Linked DNA regions of Xenopus tropicalis. The protein of the gene in region 2 purifies or fractionates together with the protein of the main gene of each other region. This does not show direct contact. Links are inferred from orthologs where the notes say so. Each region holds a gene or a part of one and is shown on either strand. Other genes may lie near its edges. The genes, in order: skp2, usp18, map3k7 and stat2.

What was found.
Region 1: the proteins of usp18 (region 2) and skp2 purify together in Homo sapiens (affinity purification with western blotting; 4 studies listed by BioGRID and IntAct, with this or other methods). This does not show direct contact. The link is inferred for Xenopus tropicalis from reciprocal best matches to the Homo sapiens genes USP18 and SKP2.
Region 3: the proteins of usp18 (region 2) and map3k7 purify together in Homo sapiens (affinity purification with western blotting; 4 studies listed by BioGRID, with this or other methods). This does not show direct contact. The link is inferred for Xenopus tropicalis from reciprocal best matches to the Homo sapiens genes USP18 and MAP3K7.
Region 4: the proteins of usp18 (region 2) and stat2 purify together in Homo sapiens (affinity purification with western blotting; 6 studies listed by BioGRID and IntAct, with this or other methods). This does not show direct contact. The link is inferred for Xenopus tropicalis from reciprocal best matches to the Homo sapiens genes USP18 and STAT2.

The regions. Positions count from the first base shown.
Region 1 is NC_030677.2:198,003,793-198,008,041, reverse strand, and holds the start of skp2 (S-phase kinase-associated protein 2), read right to left. Parts: upstream 2,823-4,249; 5' UTR 2,768-2,822; coding exon 2,754-2,767; intron 837-2,753; coding exon 580-836; intron 1-579. UniProt on the Homo sapiens protein: Substrate recognition component of a SCF (SKP1-CUL1-F-box protein) E3 ubiquitin-protein ligase complex which mediates the ubiquitination and subsequent proteasomal degradation of target proteins involved in cell cycle progression, signal transduction and transcription.
Region 2 is NC_030679.2:8,493,605-8,497,235, forward strand, and holds part of usp18 (ubl carboxyl-terminal hydrolase 18), read left to right. Parts: intron 1-916; coding exon 917-1,063; intron 1,064-1,157; coding exon 1,158-1,247; intron 1,248-2,740; coding exon 2,741-2,911; intron 2,912-3,123; coding exon 3,124-3,255; intron 3,256-3,383; coding exon 3,384-3,433; intron 3,434-3,555; coding exon 3,556-3,604; 3' UTR 3,605-3,631. UniProt on the Homo sapiens protein: Interferon-induced ISG15-specific protease that plays a crucial role for maintaining a proper balance of ISG15-conjugated proteins in cells. Regulates protein ISGylation by efficiently cleaving ISG15 conjugates linked via isopeptide bonds.
Region 3 is NC_030681.2:84,978,669-84,982,866, reverse strand, and holds the start of map3k7 (mitogen-activated protein kinase kinase kinase 7), read right to left. Parts: upstream 2,880-4,198; 5' UTR 2,652-2,879; coding exon 2,565-2,651; intron 1-2,564. UniProt on the Homo sapiens protein: Serine/threonine kinase which acts as an essential component of the MAP kinase signal transduction pathway. Plays an important role in the cascades of cellular responses evoked by changes in the environment.
Region 4 is NC_030678.2:138,441,496-138,445,126, forward strand, and holds part of stat2 (signal transducer and activator of transcription 2), read right to left. Parts: intron 2,857-3,631; coding exon 2,771-2,856; intron 922-2,770; coding exon 773-921; intron 1-772. UniProt on the Homo sapiens protein: Signal transducer and activator of transcription that mediates signaling by type I interferons (IFN-alpha and IFN-beta).

The DNA.
Region 1 (4,249 bases), on a different chromosome or scaffold from region 2:
TATAAGATTTAAGACAAAGGGCAACTAAAATCCAGGATAAATATTTCATTATTAGTATTAGGGCTGTGGCATTCTGGGGTGTCTCCTGTTTATAGCAGTGATGCAACGGCCTTTGCTTGCCATTGGGGTGCAAAGGACTTTGGGTCGGCCAAGAACTTGGTGCTACAAGTAGCAGCAGCATGAAAAAGCCACTGTTCTTATGGAGCAGGGTTACTGTGCCAATTCTAATGCCAAGTAGCCCTATACCCTTACTAACAACCCTTACTGCAGCTTTAACTGAACCTCCTGGATCCTCAGGGTTGTCTCTATTTAACCAACCAACCCCCACCTCTGAGCCTTGTATGTAAATAAAGCATGGCCCCCCTGCATATTCTATGCCTTGGAAGAATAGGAGGAGGGTTATGCTGCAGGGCAATAGGGTTTAAACTTATAGTAATTTAGGTTGCAAAAAAGACGCATGTCCCTCCTCTTTATCTAAATGAAACCTGCCCAACTGCCCCAAGCATTAGGGTGATGTTTGTTGGAAGCCATAGTTTTAAAGGGCAAATATACCCTCTTTTTTTGACACGAGCTCCGTACCTGTCTGAGCAGGTCTGGCCACCCGGGGCCGCCGTGCAATGACAAAGCATTCATCCCGTTCCTTCGGCCTCGGGCGTTTCTGTGGGGGACTGGCCTTTACTATATAGTCCTGAGGGGTATTTTCTGTGTCTTGCAAATCCTTCTCCATAGGAGTCACCCCCATGCCATAGAAAAGGTCTGAAGGCTTGTTGGAGTCCCAGCACCACATGAGGTTGGACGCGTTCCTGCTGGGAGCAGGGATCTCCTGGAGGTGTTTCCTGCAACAGAGAACGAGAGAGTTATACCATCTGCCATATTTATAAGGCAAAGCAGTCCGTTTTATACATTACTGGTCAATGTGTCAGTACTAAGGGCTTCTGTATAATGATTCATATTCAGCAGTCCCATCCCATAACCTTTATCATCATCCCCAACTCCCCCGACAGTGGGCGGTGCCCCAAAGGACTCAAACCACATTAATTTTACCCCCACACCACCTGTCATGTTGAACAGGAAAGGCCCAAAACTACATCTTTCCTGTTCACACAACTCTTAAAGGGGTGGGTCACCTTTACGTTAACCTTTAGTATGTTATAGAATGTCCTATTCCTAGCAACTTTGCGACTGATCACCATTATATATATTTTTTATTAACAGATTTCAAATTATTTGCCTTCCACTTGAACACCTTTCCAGCTTTCAAATGGGGGTCACTGGCAGCCAAAAAACTATTGCTCTGTGATCTTACAATTTTATGGTTGCTACGGTAAACAAGAATCTAGCAACCAGATAGCTGCTGAAATTCCAAACTGGAGAGTTGATGAACAAAAAGCGACATAACTGAAAAACTACAAAAAAATAAATAAATAAAACCAACTGAAAATTGTTTTAAAATATCACCGTCTATGTCATATTAAAAATTAATTTAAATGCAAACCACCTTTACATTACATTTTAGTATGTTATAGATTGGCTAATTCTAAGCAACTTTTCAGTTGGTCTTTTTTATTTATTTTTTTTTTATTTGCCCTCCTTTTTTGCCTCTTTCCAGATATCAAATGGGGGACATTGACCCCGGCAATCAAAAACCTAATGCTCTGTGAGGCTACAGTTTTATTGATATTATTACTTATCTTTTTATTTCAGACCCTTTCATATTCATATTCCAGTGTCTCATTCAAATGACCCCCTGGTTGCTAAGGTACTCTGAACCCTAGCAACCAGATAGCTGCTGAAATTCCAAACTTGAAAGTTGCTCAACAAAAAGTAAAATAATGTAAAACCACAACTAAAAAAAGACAAATTGTGACTTGTCTCATATTACTTGAATACTAAAAGTTAACCGAACTTTTAGTGTGTTATAGAATGGCCAGTTCTAAGCAGCTTTTTAATTGGTCATTCTATTATATATTCATTATATATTATTTTTTTTTATATATAGTTTTTGAATTATTCGCCTTCCTCTTCTGCCTCTTAAGCTTTCAAATGGGGGTCACCGACCCCCCATGTGCAGCCGATGTGAGCCATGTGAGGGTTAAACATACAACTCCCAGCATCCCCCCTACAGACAAAGACTGTCACAGGGTGCTGGGGAATGTACACCAACTGCAGGTTGGGCAATCCTGATCTTTACAATTAAATATACCCATCAACAGTTAAATGTAATAACATGCCCTTTGTGTATGTTGTGGGGCCCTAATGAGGGAGGGGCCCCAGGCACAGGCTCCCCCCACAGTGTGAGTTGTATTGTGGCCATAGAACACTAACATCTGTGCAGCTGCTCAGTCTCCAAGGGAGAAAGGCAAAATAACCCTGGCAGCAGGATAAAAAGTAGGGTGCCCTCGGCAATTGGGCGCTGTTGGCACCCACAGTTAAGGCCAAGCGCTAAAAGCTGGCAGAGAGGCTTGGGTACACAAAGGCAACTACACCCAATCTAACCACAAGCAGGAGAATATTCCTCTGTAAGTGAAGGCAAAATTAACACTCGTATACAGACTACAATTCCCAGCAGCACTAGCGGCTGCGAGCACTTGTAGCTATTTAAACAGCTGGAGCGCCAATAAGTTCCTATCCTAAAGCCGAAGTATTGTGCCCAGGTCAGTGTGTGGGTTTTACAGCAAGGAGAGCTGCCTGGGAGCTCTGAGCCATAACACTGAGCGCAAAAACACACAAACCATTCCCGCTGCCCCATTTACCTGTGTACAGCCATCAGCGCGCCACTTTGTGCACTTGTAACCTTCCCGCTCCCCTACTGCCGCCTCCTGCGTCACTATGCGCGTCACTCTGCGCCTGCGCCGCACCTCTACGCCTCTACGCATGCGCTGTCTGCCGCATTATAGCCAGCTTGGGAGGCGCAGGAATACTTTTCTGTAGGGGAGCAGCAATGGAAATAACACAATTTAAGGGGCTGTGGGATAGTAGGGAGAGATGGTGCCTATAGTAGCAGTGGGATAATAGCCTCTGGGAAGGGACTGGGGCTGTGGGATAGCAGGTATAGTAAGGAGAGATGGTGCCTATAGTAGCAGTGAGATAATAGCCTCTGGGAAGGGACTGGGGCTGTGGGATAGCAGGTATAGTAGGGAGAGATGGTGCCTATAGTAGCAGTGGGGGGATAATAGCCTCCGGGAAGGGACTGGGGCTGTGGGATAGCAGGTATAGTAGGGAGAGATGGTGCCTATAGTAGCAGTGGGGGGATAATAGCCTCTGGGAAGGGACTGGGGCTGTGGGATAGCAGGTATAGTAGGGAGAGATGGTGCCTATAGTAGCAGTGGGGGGATAATAGCCTCTGGGAAGGGACTGGGGCTGTGGGATAGCAGGTATAGTAGGGAGAGATGGTGCCTATAGTAGCAGTGGGGGGATAATAGCCCCTGGGAAGGGACTGGGGCTGTGGGATAGCAGGTATAGTAGGGAGAGATGGTGCCTATAGTAGCAGTGGGGGATAATAGCCTCTGGGAAGGGACTGGGGCTGTGGGATAGCAGGTATAGTAGGGAGAGATGGTGCCTATAGTAGCAGTGGGGGGATAATAGCCTCTGGGAAGGGACTGGGGCTGTGGGATAGCAGGTATAGTAGGGAGAGATGGTGCCTATAGTAGCAGTGGGATAATAGCCTCTGGGAAGGGACTGGGGCTGTGGGATAGCAGGTATAGTAGGGAGAGATGGTGCCTATAGTAGCAGTGGGATAATAGCCTCTGGGAAGGGACTGGGGCTGTGGGATAGCAGGTATAGTAGGGGTAGATTGTGCCTATAGTAGCAGTGGGGGGATAATAGCCTCTGGGAAGGGACTGGGGCTGTGGGATATCAGGTATAGTAGGGAGAGATGGTGCCTATAGTAGCAGTGGGGGGATAATAGCCTCTGGGAAGGGACTGGGGCTGTGGGATAGCAGGTATAGTAGGGGTAGATTGTGCCTATAGTAGCAGTGGGGGGATAATAGCCTCTGGGAAGGGACTGGGGCTGTAGGATAGCAGGTATAGTAGGGAGAGATGGTGCCTATAGTAGCAGTGGGGGGATAATAGCCTCTGGGAAGGGACTGGGGCTGTGGGATAGCAGGTATAGTAGGGAGAGATGGTGCCTATAGTAGCAGTGGGGGATAATAGCCTCTGGGAAGGGACTGGGGCTGTGGGATAGCAGGTATAGTAGGGAGTGGTAGAAAGAGCAGCCTTTTGATCAATGTTGAAAAGCATGTAAAACAGT
Region 2 (3,631 bases):
GACTCAGGCACACTTTACTGCTGCGCTGCAAGTTGGAGTGATATCCCCCCCCCTCACCCCCAGCAGCCGATCAGCAGAACAATGGGAAGGGAGCAAGATAGCAGCTCCCAGTAGGTATCAGAATAGCACTCAATAGTAAGAAATCCAAGTCCGGCTTGGGACTCCTCCAGTTACATGGGAGTAGGAGAAACAATAGGTTAGCTGAAAGCAGTTCTAATGTGTAGCGCTGGCTGAAAGCTCAGACTCAGGCACACTTTACTGCTGCGCTGCAAGTTGGAGTGATATCCCCCCCCCTCACCCCCAGCAGCCGATCAGCAGAACAATGGGAAGGGAGCAAGATAGCAGCTCCCAGTAGGTATCAGAATAGCACTCAATAGTAAGAAATCCAAGTCCGGCTTGGGACTCCTCCAGTTACATGGGAGTAGGATAAACAACAGGTTCTAATGTGTAGCGCCGGCTCCTTCTGAAAGCTCAGACTCAGGCACACTTTACTGCTGCGCTGCAAGTTGGAGTGATATCCCACCCCCCTCACCCCCAGCAGCCGATCAGCAGAACAATGGGAAGGGAGCAAGATAGCAGCTCCCAGTAGGTATCAGAATAGCACTCAATAGTAAGAAATCCAAGTCCGGCTTGGGACTCCTCCAGTTACATGGGAGTAGGAGAAACAACAGGTTAGCTGAAAGCAGTTCTAATGTGTAGGGCTGGCTCCTTCTGAAAGCTCAGACTCAGGCACACTTTACTGCTGCGCTGCAAGTTGGAGTGATATCTAAACAAAACCTCCCTTCTTCTAAACGGAGTGGGTGCCCTCGTGCCCGTTGGAAGGACCTACTGGTAAATAAAACATTAGAAAGGTTATTATATGATCCCCTTGTATATTTATACATAGTTATCATGTATATCCTGTCCCCTTCTTCAGGCACAGAGGCTGAGGGCACTTTATGGCATCAAACTTAAAGAACACGTGACGTGCCACAAATGCTCCCATGAAAAGTCCAGTGACATGGAAGTCCTGACAATTCCGTTGCCAGTTCCCCACTCCAAATACCAAAGGCCTTTGCCCCTGGTGAGTACACACTAGGGCCACAGCGGCTACCTGCAGTTGCGCTTCAGTTGCGTTGGGATCTTCTTATCATTCCCTACGTTTTGCTTTTACCCAGCAACGAGCGCTCTGGAGGTTCTTTAAGCCGCACGAGATAAGTGAAGACAATTTCTGTCCGAAATGTGCCGAAAACACCGCAGGACAGAGGGTAACGCAAAGCCTTTCTTTATTATATGAAAAACAAGTCTTGACCATTAACTTGGCCATTAACTACTTGGGCATACATCGAAGTAACCGGCCACTCACCTGGTTGTTCAGCAAATTAAGTAGTGGTCAATGTGGACACTTAATGCTGAGAAAATGGTTGATATTTACCCAGATGATCAGAGGATGGGCTAGCCAAGGAGTTGGAGCAGCCAGGGGTGGCATATCTTGACCCATTAAGTGTTGAGTAGCCGCCCAATATGTCCATTAAAGTTCACAGATATATGCTGTGTGGGCATTGGTGTCCATATATATTATATATAAAAATCCACTTGCTGGTGGAGTAGATCTTCGCTCAATTTGGCCACCTAGGTGGCTGGTTCAATCAAGGGGATCTGATTCCAAGAAGGTCCTATGAGGACCACCACTACCCAATTTGTTTCTCTATTGGATCTTTTTCTACCTGATCCCCAGCTGGATATCGGGCGGCCAGGCTGTTTTGGCCCTGTACAGAGGCCAAAGGTCTTCAACGGGTCCACCTTTAGTTTTTGAGCCTTTAGTATTTGTTGGAAAGTCAGACAGCAAGATGTATAGGAGAGGGTCTAGGTCAAACCAGTCATGTTATCTCTACCATGGAAAGCTGAGATGCATCTCCACAGCCTACTTTGTTACTTTGGAGACTTTTGGCAAAACATGGCCCATACCATAATGCAACTAAGTTCCAGGTTGGAACAGTTTAAATCAAGGTGATCTGATGAGGACCACCACTACCCAATTTGTTTCTCTATTGGATCTTTTTCTACCTGATCCCCAGCTAGATATTTTGATCGGCCAGGCTGTTTTGGCCCTGTACAGAGGCCAAAGGTCTTCAACAGGTCCAAGGTATGGCCATCTTTAGTTTTTAAACCTTTAGTATTTGTTGGAAATTCAGACAGCAAGATGTATAGGAGAGGGTCTAGGTCAGTGATCCCCAACCAGTGGCTCCGGGCAACATGTTGCTCCCCAACCCCTTGGATGTTGCTCTCAGTGCCCCCAAACCAGGGAGTTATTTTTGAATTCCTGACTTGGGGGCAAGTTTTGGTTGAATAAAAACAAGATTCCCTACCAAATAAAGCCCCTGTAAGCTGATAGGTGCATAGAGGCTGCCTAATAGCCAATCACAGCCCTTATTTGGCTCCTCCATGAACTTTTATGGTGCTTGTGTTGCTCCCCAAGTCTTTTTACATTTGACTGTGGCTCAAGAGTAAGAAAGGTTGGGGATCCCTGGTCTAGGTCAAGCCATGTTATCTCTACCATAAATGGCCCAAATACAGAGTCTTGGAAAGCTGATGTCCCAAGTAGGAGATGTATCTTCACAACCTACATTGTTACTTTTGGCACAACATGGCCCATACCAGGTTGGAGAAGAGACTTCCACCAGTGAATACAATTCATGACCTAACACAGGGACCATAGAGATGTCTTGTACCTTAGCTTCCCTTCCTCCATACTTTGCAGGTTCTCCAGTTCTTCTCTCTACCTCAGACGCTGTCCATACATCTGAAACGTATTAGCAGAAGAAAGACCTCCGACGTACAGAAGATAAACAGAACGTTCTCTTTCCCTTGCACGCTGGACTTGAGTGATGTTCTGGATCAGGAGCAGTTCCCGGTACAAGAACATGCTCAGGTACAGCCGCTGGTACCAAAGAAAGGCATTAAGGACCTTCACCCAAGGTTTTCCACCTAAATGATGGATGTGCCAGCTGACCCCAGCTTCTAGCAGTTGGTTGTCATTGCAAACAGTCATTAAATAATATAATATAAAATGACTCGGGCCACTCTGGGGGTTGGACCATGAGGGACACAATCCAAAATACCACCATTTTGTTTTTCTTCCAGTCAGACTTCAAGTATAGACTTTTTGCTGTCATCGCCCACTCTGGAACGGCCAGCTTTGGCCACTATTGTGCCTACATCAATAGCTCAAAGGACCAGACGTGGTACAGCTTTAATGACTCCAGCGTTTGCAAGGTGAGAGAGATGGTGTTACCCAAATGGCACAAACTAAAGGCAACGCCCATGTAATGATCTGGGTGGTGCCGGGGGCGGGTTCTGTTTGATCGATGGACAACATTATATACTTTGTGTATGTATTATAGGTATCCTGGGATGATGTGAAATGCACCTATGGAAACATGGACTTTCACTTGTAAGTACGAGGAGAAAAAGGGTCTTCCCAACCTATAGCTCCCTAATAAACTAGGCAAAATTCAATTTTTGGTTTTACTTCCCCTTTAAATTTACACGAATCTTTCTGATATTTCCTTTCAGCAGTGCTACAGCCTGTCTGCTGGTCTATCTACAGGGAGATGGGAACTAGAGACGCCAACGCCGCAGGACGACGGAC
Region 3 (4,198 bases), on a different chromosome or scaffold from region 2:
GCTTTCTGGATAATGGGTTTCCGGATAAGGGATCCCATACCTGTAGCAGCTAGTTGTCATGGCTACAAAAATTGACAATGCTGATCATTTACTGGTAATTGTCTCTACATGTGTAGAGGCAATTCTCAAGTTTTGTCTGTGGCAGGGTATTTTCTGGAGTTTTCTAGCCGTCGCAAGTAGCTGCTACTAAGCAGCTCCGTGTGTCTTTGCCCTAACAGTACATAGAATGAGAAGAGGCACTGCCAGCAAAATGCACCTTAAAAGGGATACTGTCATGGAAAACCATGTTTTTTTTTCCAAAACACATGAGTTAATGGAGCTTCTCCAGAGAGAAGCAGAATCCTGCATTAAAATCCATTTTTCAAATACACAGATTTTTATATTTAATTTTGAAATTTCACATGGGGCTAGCCATATCCTTCATTTCCCAGGGTGCCACAGCCATGTCACCTGTGCTCTGAAAAACTTCAATCACACTTTACTGCTGCACTGCAAGTTGGAGCGATATTAATCTCCCACAGCAGTCAATCAGCAGAACAATGGGAAGGGAGCAAGATATCAGCTCCCAGTAGATATCATAATAGCATGCAACAGTAAGAAATCCAAGACTTTTGTGGCGGCCAATAAGTCACCTAGACTGGATTTTTAAAATCGCAGCGACTAGTTTCTCTGTCTGTCTTCACCCTGATGGTTTCATTAAACCTAACCTATGCTATCAAGTCCCATGGTTCTACAGGAAAATATACTGCATGTTCCTGTACAAGGGAATTTGGATCAGACAACAATCCTTCACCGATTCCAGATTGATGAACTTTCACAATGTTGAGTTGAGGCAGCCACACACTTTAAGATCTGCTTGTTTGGAGAGTTCGCCAAACGAGTGGATCTTCTCGTTAGGTGGGCAAGTTTGGACCAAATGATGCAGTCCCTTATAAGTCATAAAATCAAACCTATCTGACCAAGATCTGGTTAATTTTAGGGCAGATCTAAAGCTGGCCATACACGCACCGATACTATCGTACGAAACCTCTTTTCGTACTATATTCAGTGCGTGTATGGCATGTCGGCGAGTCGACCAATATCGCAGGAAACTGCTAATATCGGTCGACTCGCCGATCGGACCGGTTAAAAAAATTTGATCGGGCGCCATAGAAGGCGCCTGACCAAAATCTGCCGTCAGGGCTGAATCGGCAGAAGGAGGTAGAAATCCTATTGTTTCTTCCTCCTTATCTGCTGTTTCAGCTCTGATGGGTGTGTGGCGGATCTGACGATGTAGTCAGGTAGGCCTGGCAGGCGTGCCCATACATGGGCAGATAAGCTGCTGAATCATTCTAAAGGACCCGAATCTGCAGCTAAAATCTACTCGTGCATGGCCACCGTAAGAATATCCAATTGGCCTTTGCTTGAAAATGGCATATACACAAAAGCAAAACGTCAATAAGACTAATGTGACAAGATTTGGGGTAAATTAACATAATTTAGAGGAACATCACTTCCCCTTTACATTCAACAGGAATCACCATGAGTACGGCACGACACCCATGTGACTACAACCAGAAAACATGCCTACCCAATATTTTTGGCTATAAATATGGTCATACTTCAAACACATGCATCAGCGGTAAGAATAAAAACAACTACATAAAACTGGTGCTTCACAAGTGTCTTTTCATTGTGTTTTCTGATAATTTAAAAACAAAATTCTTTGACAAACTATGAATTAATCTGTTTTGCTATCGCATTAATATTACAGATGAAACCAATAGAAAAAGAGGTTTCCAAGCAAAGTTTGTACCACTATGGAGATGCATGGAATGTGCAAGCCATTGGGAAATATATGAAATAAATCATACAAAAAATGGATGGGCTACCTGTCACCTCTGATGCCTCATATCAGCGGCAAATGTACAGATATGTTGTCTGGGACAAACGCAGTCTTTCAAGAAGCAATTCACCTGAATGTTATGACAGTTTGCTACTGTTCTTTAGTTATTTCTTTTGTTTTTTTGTTTTTTTTTAATTATTTCACATTTTGCTCTGCAGCTATCCAACTTAGAATGTTTACCTTGAACCAGGCAGTGGTTGGAAAGTCAGAAAGATGAAAAGGAAAGAAACTCTAAACAAAGACAAGCCAAAGACAAGTATCAGCTATATAATTGGGGGAGGGACAGTGTCCCCCAAAAAACTGACATTTTCAAATTGCAACATGTAAAATGGCAATGATAGGAGGGGGAATCATTAAAAAAAACCATAAAACATATAAATTAGAAATAATCAATTGAATAGTTGCCGAGAATAGGCCAGCCAGGAAAAACCTAATAGCTGCTTTACAAGTGAACTTCCCCTTTAAGGGTGTCTTTACTACTAGATTTGTCTCCATAGAACTTTCTCTGGCAAAGAATGAATAGGACTAAATATTTACAAACAATAAGCGGGGAAAGTCCAACCTGCGGTCAGTAAAGTGCAACTACTGGCAGCAACTGCTAGAAGTTATATGTTAATGAAAAGCTGCAGGTTGGAGATCTGCCTTTAGCCCATTTGCCCGTGTCACCCCGCAGGCTCACCTCTTCCACCTCTATCTCCTTGTAGTCGATCTCCTCAAAGTTTAGCACCGGTGGAGTCTCAATCATGTCAGCAGAGGCGGCAGACATGCCGTGCCCTTACAAGAGAAATCGGGGACCCCACCGGCGGAAGCCGGGGTACACAGCTGGGGAAAACAGAGCGGGTTTAACAGGAGCCACCGTAATACTTGTACGTGACGGGCGGCCCCGGCCCATCAAGGACCAGGTAACCCCCTTCTGGGCTGCTGGGCCTAGCCTGCTTGGAGCCAGGGCCTGTGGTGGAAGAGGGGAGGGCTCTCTTGCTACTACTGTAGCCGCTGATGCGCTGGCCAACTTCCGATCCGACCATACAGGTAGAGGCGAAGAAGCGCAGGCCTAATGCAGAGCGGCGGCGAAAGCAGGGCGGGGCTTCGTGATGTCGTCTTGCACAGAAGCAAAGTGAGGCGTGTTCGGAAAGATAGTTTTTTTATACAACTTTATTGACATGACAAAATGAAAATTCTTTCTACAATATAGTCTTTTTTTTTTTTGCTCTGCTGTTTTGTTTACGTTTTGCTGTCTTATATGACGGTACTATCTGCCCTCCGAAATAAATTGTCTCTGGAAGTGTTGTTAGGTTTTTAAAACTTCCAGAAATCATTTCTCAGTGCCTGCTCTTAATTTATAACCAATAGTGAAAGTATAGAAATATACTCTTATAGGCAAGTGCAGTAAACAAAGTGGAATTCTGAGTGCATTTTTTCCCCACAATGCAGCCTTTTCCACTGAATTGCAATCACTATTGCGCCTACACAACTACATTTGATGTGACAAAATTCCCACAACTGTATGCACATTTTGTCACAAATCTGACACAATTGTGCAGAAGCTGGGTTTTCCCTTTAACTTTATAGGGAGATCTCCAGCCTCAGGCAAGTGCTGGCTGGATGCCCCAGTTTGGAGCCAAAAATCAAGGGGGGGGCAGCAGTTGATAAAGGTGTTTTGCCAGTTTTTGGAGGAGAGATATAGAGTGAGCAGCCCGTACCACATGTTGTGAGTTGAGACTGAAAAAAGAAGAGTCTGCAGGGCTGCCAGGGATTACAAAGTCCTCTGTGGAATCTCCGTGTGTGTCCCCTGGTGAGAACAGGTATGTATGTGTAACCCTTTCTTGGCACATTCACTTATATATGGCTGTATTTTCAGGAGATGTGTGTTCTCAAAGAATATTGATACTGGGAACTGGGAACAGCGCAGTGCCTCCACCTAGTGGACACTGAGGAACACACCTCTAGGGGATTTCCACTAGGAAATAATCACACACAGGTTTGGCAGAAATGTTAAACTTTATATAACTGTTGGAGTTGGAAGTTAACACTTTATGTACAACTGATTTTCCTGCTCTGAGGAACCCATGTAGTTTATCCACAGCTGGCACCGACAGTCTCTATAGATGCCCAATCCCCACTTGGATCCGGATAAACCACAACCCTTAGGTTAGTTCAGTCCCTTCCCCAAGAGCTCTTTAGTCCCCCCAGGTAGCGCTACCTGCCCCAGAGTACCTTCCCTTTATAAAGGTGGCTGCTCCCACGTAGCAGGCAAACGAACAATACCTGTTCACAGCAGGGGACACACACTAGAGATACCACAGAGGACTGATT
Region 4 (3,631 bases), on a different chromosome or scaffold from region 2:
ACTGACCTATCTATCCACTCACATACAGACCCATACTGACCTATCTATACCCTCACATACAGACCCATACTGACCTATCTATACACTCACATACAGACCCATACTGACCTATCTATACACTCACATACAGACCCATACTGACCTATCTATACACTCACATACAGACCCATACTGACCTATCTATACACTCACATACAGACCCATACTGACCTATCTATACACTCACATACATAAACCATATATACCAACATCAATACAAACTGTAGATATTAGTATCACAATAGGCTTGGATATTATGCTTGTTCAAGAACTCATCCGAGCCCCTCTTAAAGGCATGTTGTATGTTATCCCTTCCTAATTTATAGTTGTGCTAATGGAAACATTGTACTAAGAGCATTACTATCAATAACCTTGTATGTAATCCCTTCCTAAAAAGATTAAAGTTAGGTTAACTTTTAGTATGTTATAAAAAGTTCTATTCTTTTTTAATTGCCTTTCATTTTTTATAGTTTTTTAATCATCTGCTTTCTTCTTCTGCCCCTTTTCAGCTTTCACAATGGGGTCGCTGACCCTGGCAACCAAAAAACAATTGATCTGTAAGGCTAAGGGTACACGATGTACACAGGCAGAGAAAAGCAGATCACGTCCTATTTGATCTATCTTGAAGCTTCACTGACTGGTTTGGGCTGAAATCCATACATTTGAGTTTTACTTAATCCCAGATCAGTAATGAGGTGAAATGAATTGGTGGAATTAAGCTTTCTCTACTCACCAGCCCTGAAGATTCTTGAGAGATGTTTCTGTGGGGGCTCCAATACATTCCAGTTTTTGCTTTAACAGCCACTCATCTAATTCCTGCTGCAGGAATTCGACAAGTGTCTCACACAACCCAAGCAGGCCCTTTATTTGATCCAAAACCTCCTGGGGGTAAAAAGAATATTTTTAAGGTATAGCCTACATGAGCAGCTGAGCAGAGAAAGAACAGTAGAGAATGTGTCCAGTGTATAAAACCCACTTATTGTACAGCGCTGCGGAATATGTTGGCGCTTTATAAATAAATGTTAATAATAATAATAATAATGTGCATGTGTGGCACAAATTATTGTTGCCTTCCTTTCACTTGAGGGCTAAACTATAGTAGCCAGAGAGGGTGAACTTCAGTACCAAATTATGTTTTAGCCCACTAGGAGGCACAATTTCAGTGAATGTTTCATTTTAATTTAGTTAAATTAGGGGAACAAAAGTAGTCGTGTGGCTACTCAGAAATTAGCAGAATAGAGTGTCCGGGTCATTACCCGTGTGTTTGTAATATCTGGGAGATGGAGAAAGTGCCTTTAGCATGTTCTTATGTGGGGGCTATTAACTTCTAAGGGCTCTGGCACACGGGGGAGATTAGTCGCCCGCGATAAAACTCCCTGTTCGCGGGCGACTAATCTCCCCGAGTTGCCTACCCCTGCCATCCCACCGGCGAACATGTAAGTCGCCGGCGGGATGGCAGAAAGCCAAAGTCTCAACAGCTATCTTAAAGAACATGTAAATGGGATTTTTTTAAGAGTCTGGAATTCGTTCCCAGAATTCCTTTTGTTTGCTTTTGTCTGTGTGAGGCAGTCTCCTCAACCTTATTTATTTGTTTGTAGAACCACATGGTGACTCTACCTAAGCTGATCAGAAAACCCTACACTACACTGATGAGCCCCCAATAAGGGCGAAACTGGTCTGTAGTTGGGAATCTGATCAGCTATTGTCCTGACTTCAGCTTCAAACCCAGTGGGTGAGCTGTAGCCTATAGGATAAACCCATGTAAATGGGATTTTTTTTAAGAGTCTGGAATTCGTTCCCAGAATTCCTTTTGTTTGTTAAAGAACACATAAACCCTTTATTTTTCTACCATGTATATAAGTTGGGCACATCTCCCCCATCAAATTTTAAATGGTAGAGAGAATTATTTGCTATTTAAACAGTGTAATTTAGAAATAAAAACTACATTACAAAAATCATGACAGAATCCCTTTGTTTTACTTTTAGTTTGTTACAGAATGTCCAATTCATAGCAACGTCTCAATTTGTCTTCATTTTATTTGTTTATTTTTTTAATAGTTTCTTTTAGCTATTTGCCTTCCTCTTCTGCATCTTCCAGCTTTCAAATGGAGGGGGGGGGGGGTCACTGACCCCTGCCAAAAAGCTTTTGTGCCATGAGGCTACAGTTTCATTGTTCCTTTTATTACTTATCTTTCAATTTTGACTTCTCCTATTTATCTCCCAGGCTCTCATTTCAACCAGAATATCAGTCCTTGGCATGGAGCACCAGCCAGTAAGGTTAAAAGTAAACATAATGTGGCAAAAAAAAACCAAAAAGAAACATAATAGGCTTCACCCCAAAGTATCACCAGCTTGGCTTGACGCATTCCATGGCCCTTAGCCACTTATTCAGAAGCTCATTTTAACCAGTGCTTGGTTGCTAGAGTAAATTTGACCCTACAATTCCAAACGGGAGAGCTGCTGAACAAAAAGCAAAATAATTGCAAAACCACAAAAAGTTAAAAATTAAGACCAATTGCAGATTATCTCAGAATATCATTGTCTGCATTATAGTAAAATGCATACCCTTGTAAAACAGCAAATGAATCATTTGTGAGATAGGTCATAAATCTAAGGTTTAGACGTGTTCTAAAATAAGCTGTGTTTGTAATGACAAATACTTTCTAAATAATCCCCGTGCTGATAATACAACACAACACATGCATAAACAACATTATCCTATAAAACTGACCTTGCGCTTCCTGTCCAGTTCATTTAACAGACTCTGCAGTTCATCTCTTTTCTTCTTTAAATGTTTGTCATCGGGGTGTGACCTTGCTGTAAGGGTACCAAACAAGAACTTAGCCAGTGATCAGGCATATAAAAGGGCTTTTTGTATGGTAATGCAAAGCAATCCCAATCTCCCAGGGTATGTTTGGCAGGAATCCTGGGCTTCTCCTGCACCAGGAAATTAACTTATTGATACATTTTAAAGAACTGACCACTGCAAATACATTTTTAACTTTAGTCAGCTGAAGTTAATGGACATGTAAACCCCGTACACAAAAATATAATCAGTGAACAGCCTCTTTGAAATCTTTCAATGCCTGCCACACTGGTTGTCCAGAGGTTAATAGTAAGGCTGCAGCATCTCCTTAATCACTTTCCTTCTCCTCCTGTAACCCACTGCCCCCCCCTCCCCCCTCTGGAATTTGCTTTGATTTCTGGCTTGCCAGACATGGTCAGTTTTTTTCAGCTCAGATTACTAAACACACCCCCCATTTTAGCAACCAATGAAGAGATGGCATTGCTGGTAGAAATTCAGCTCTAGCTCTCCTAACCTCCTCTCCTGAGCTTAGTTTAACCATTACAGTGCTCAAACAAAGCAGAACTTTTAGCAAAGACAGTTCTGCCTGTGTGAGCCTGTATTCTTGATGACATTTATGCTGAATAAGGGCTCTGGCACACGGGGAGATTAGTCACTATTACCTTGCTCCAACAGCAATGAGCTAGGACTAGCTAATATCAAAATTCATCTGTCAGGTACAGGTGCTAGCGTGCTCACACCATTCTCATGGAAGGTAATATCACAAAAGTAAATACAGTGGAAAAA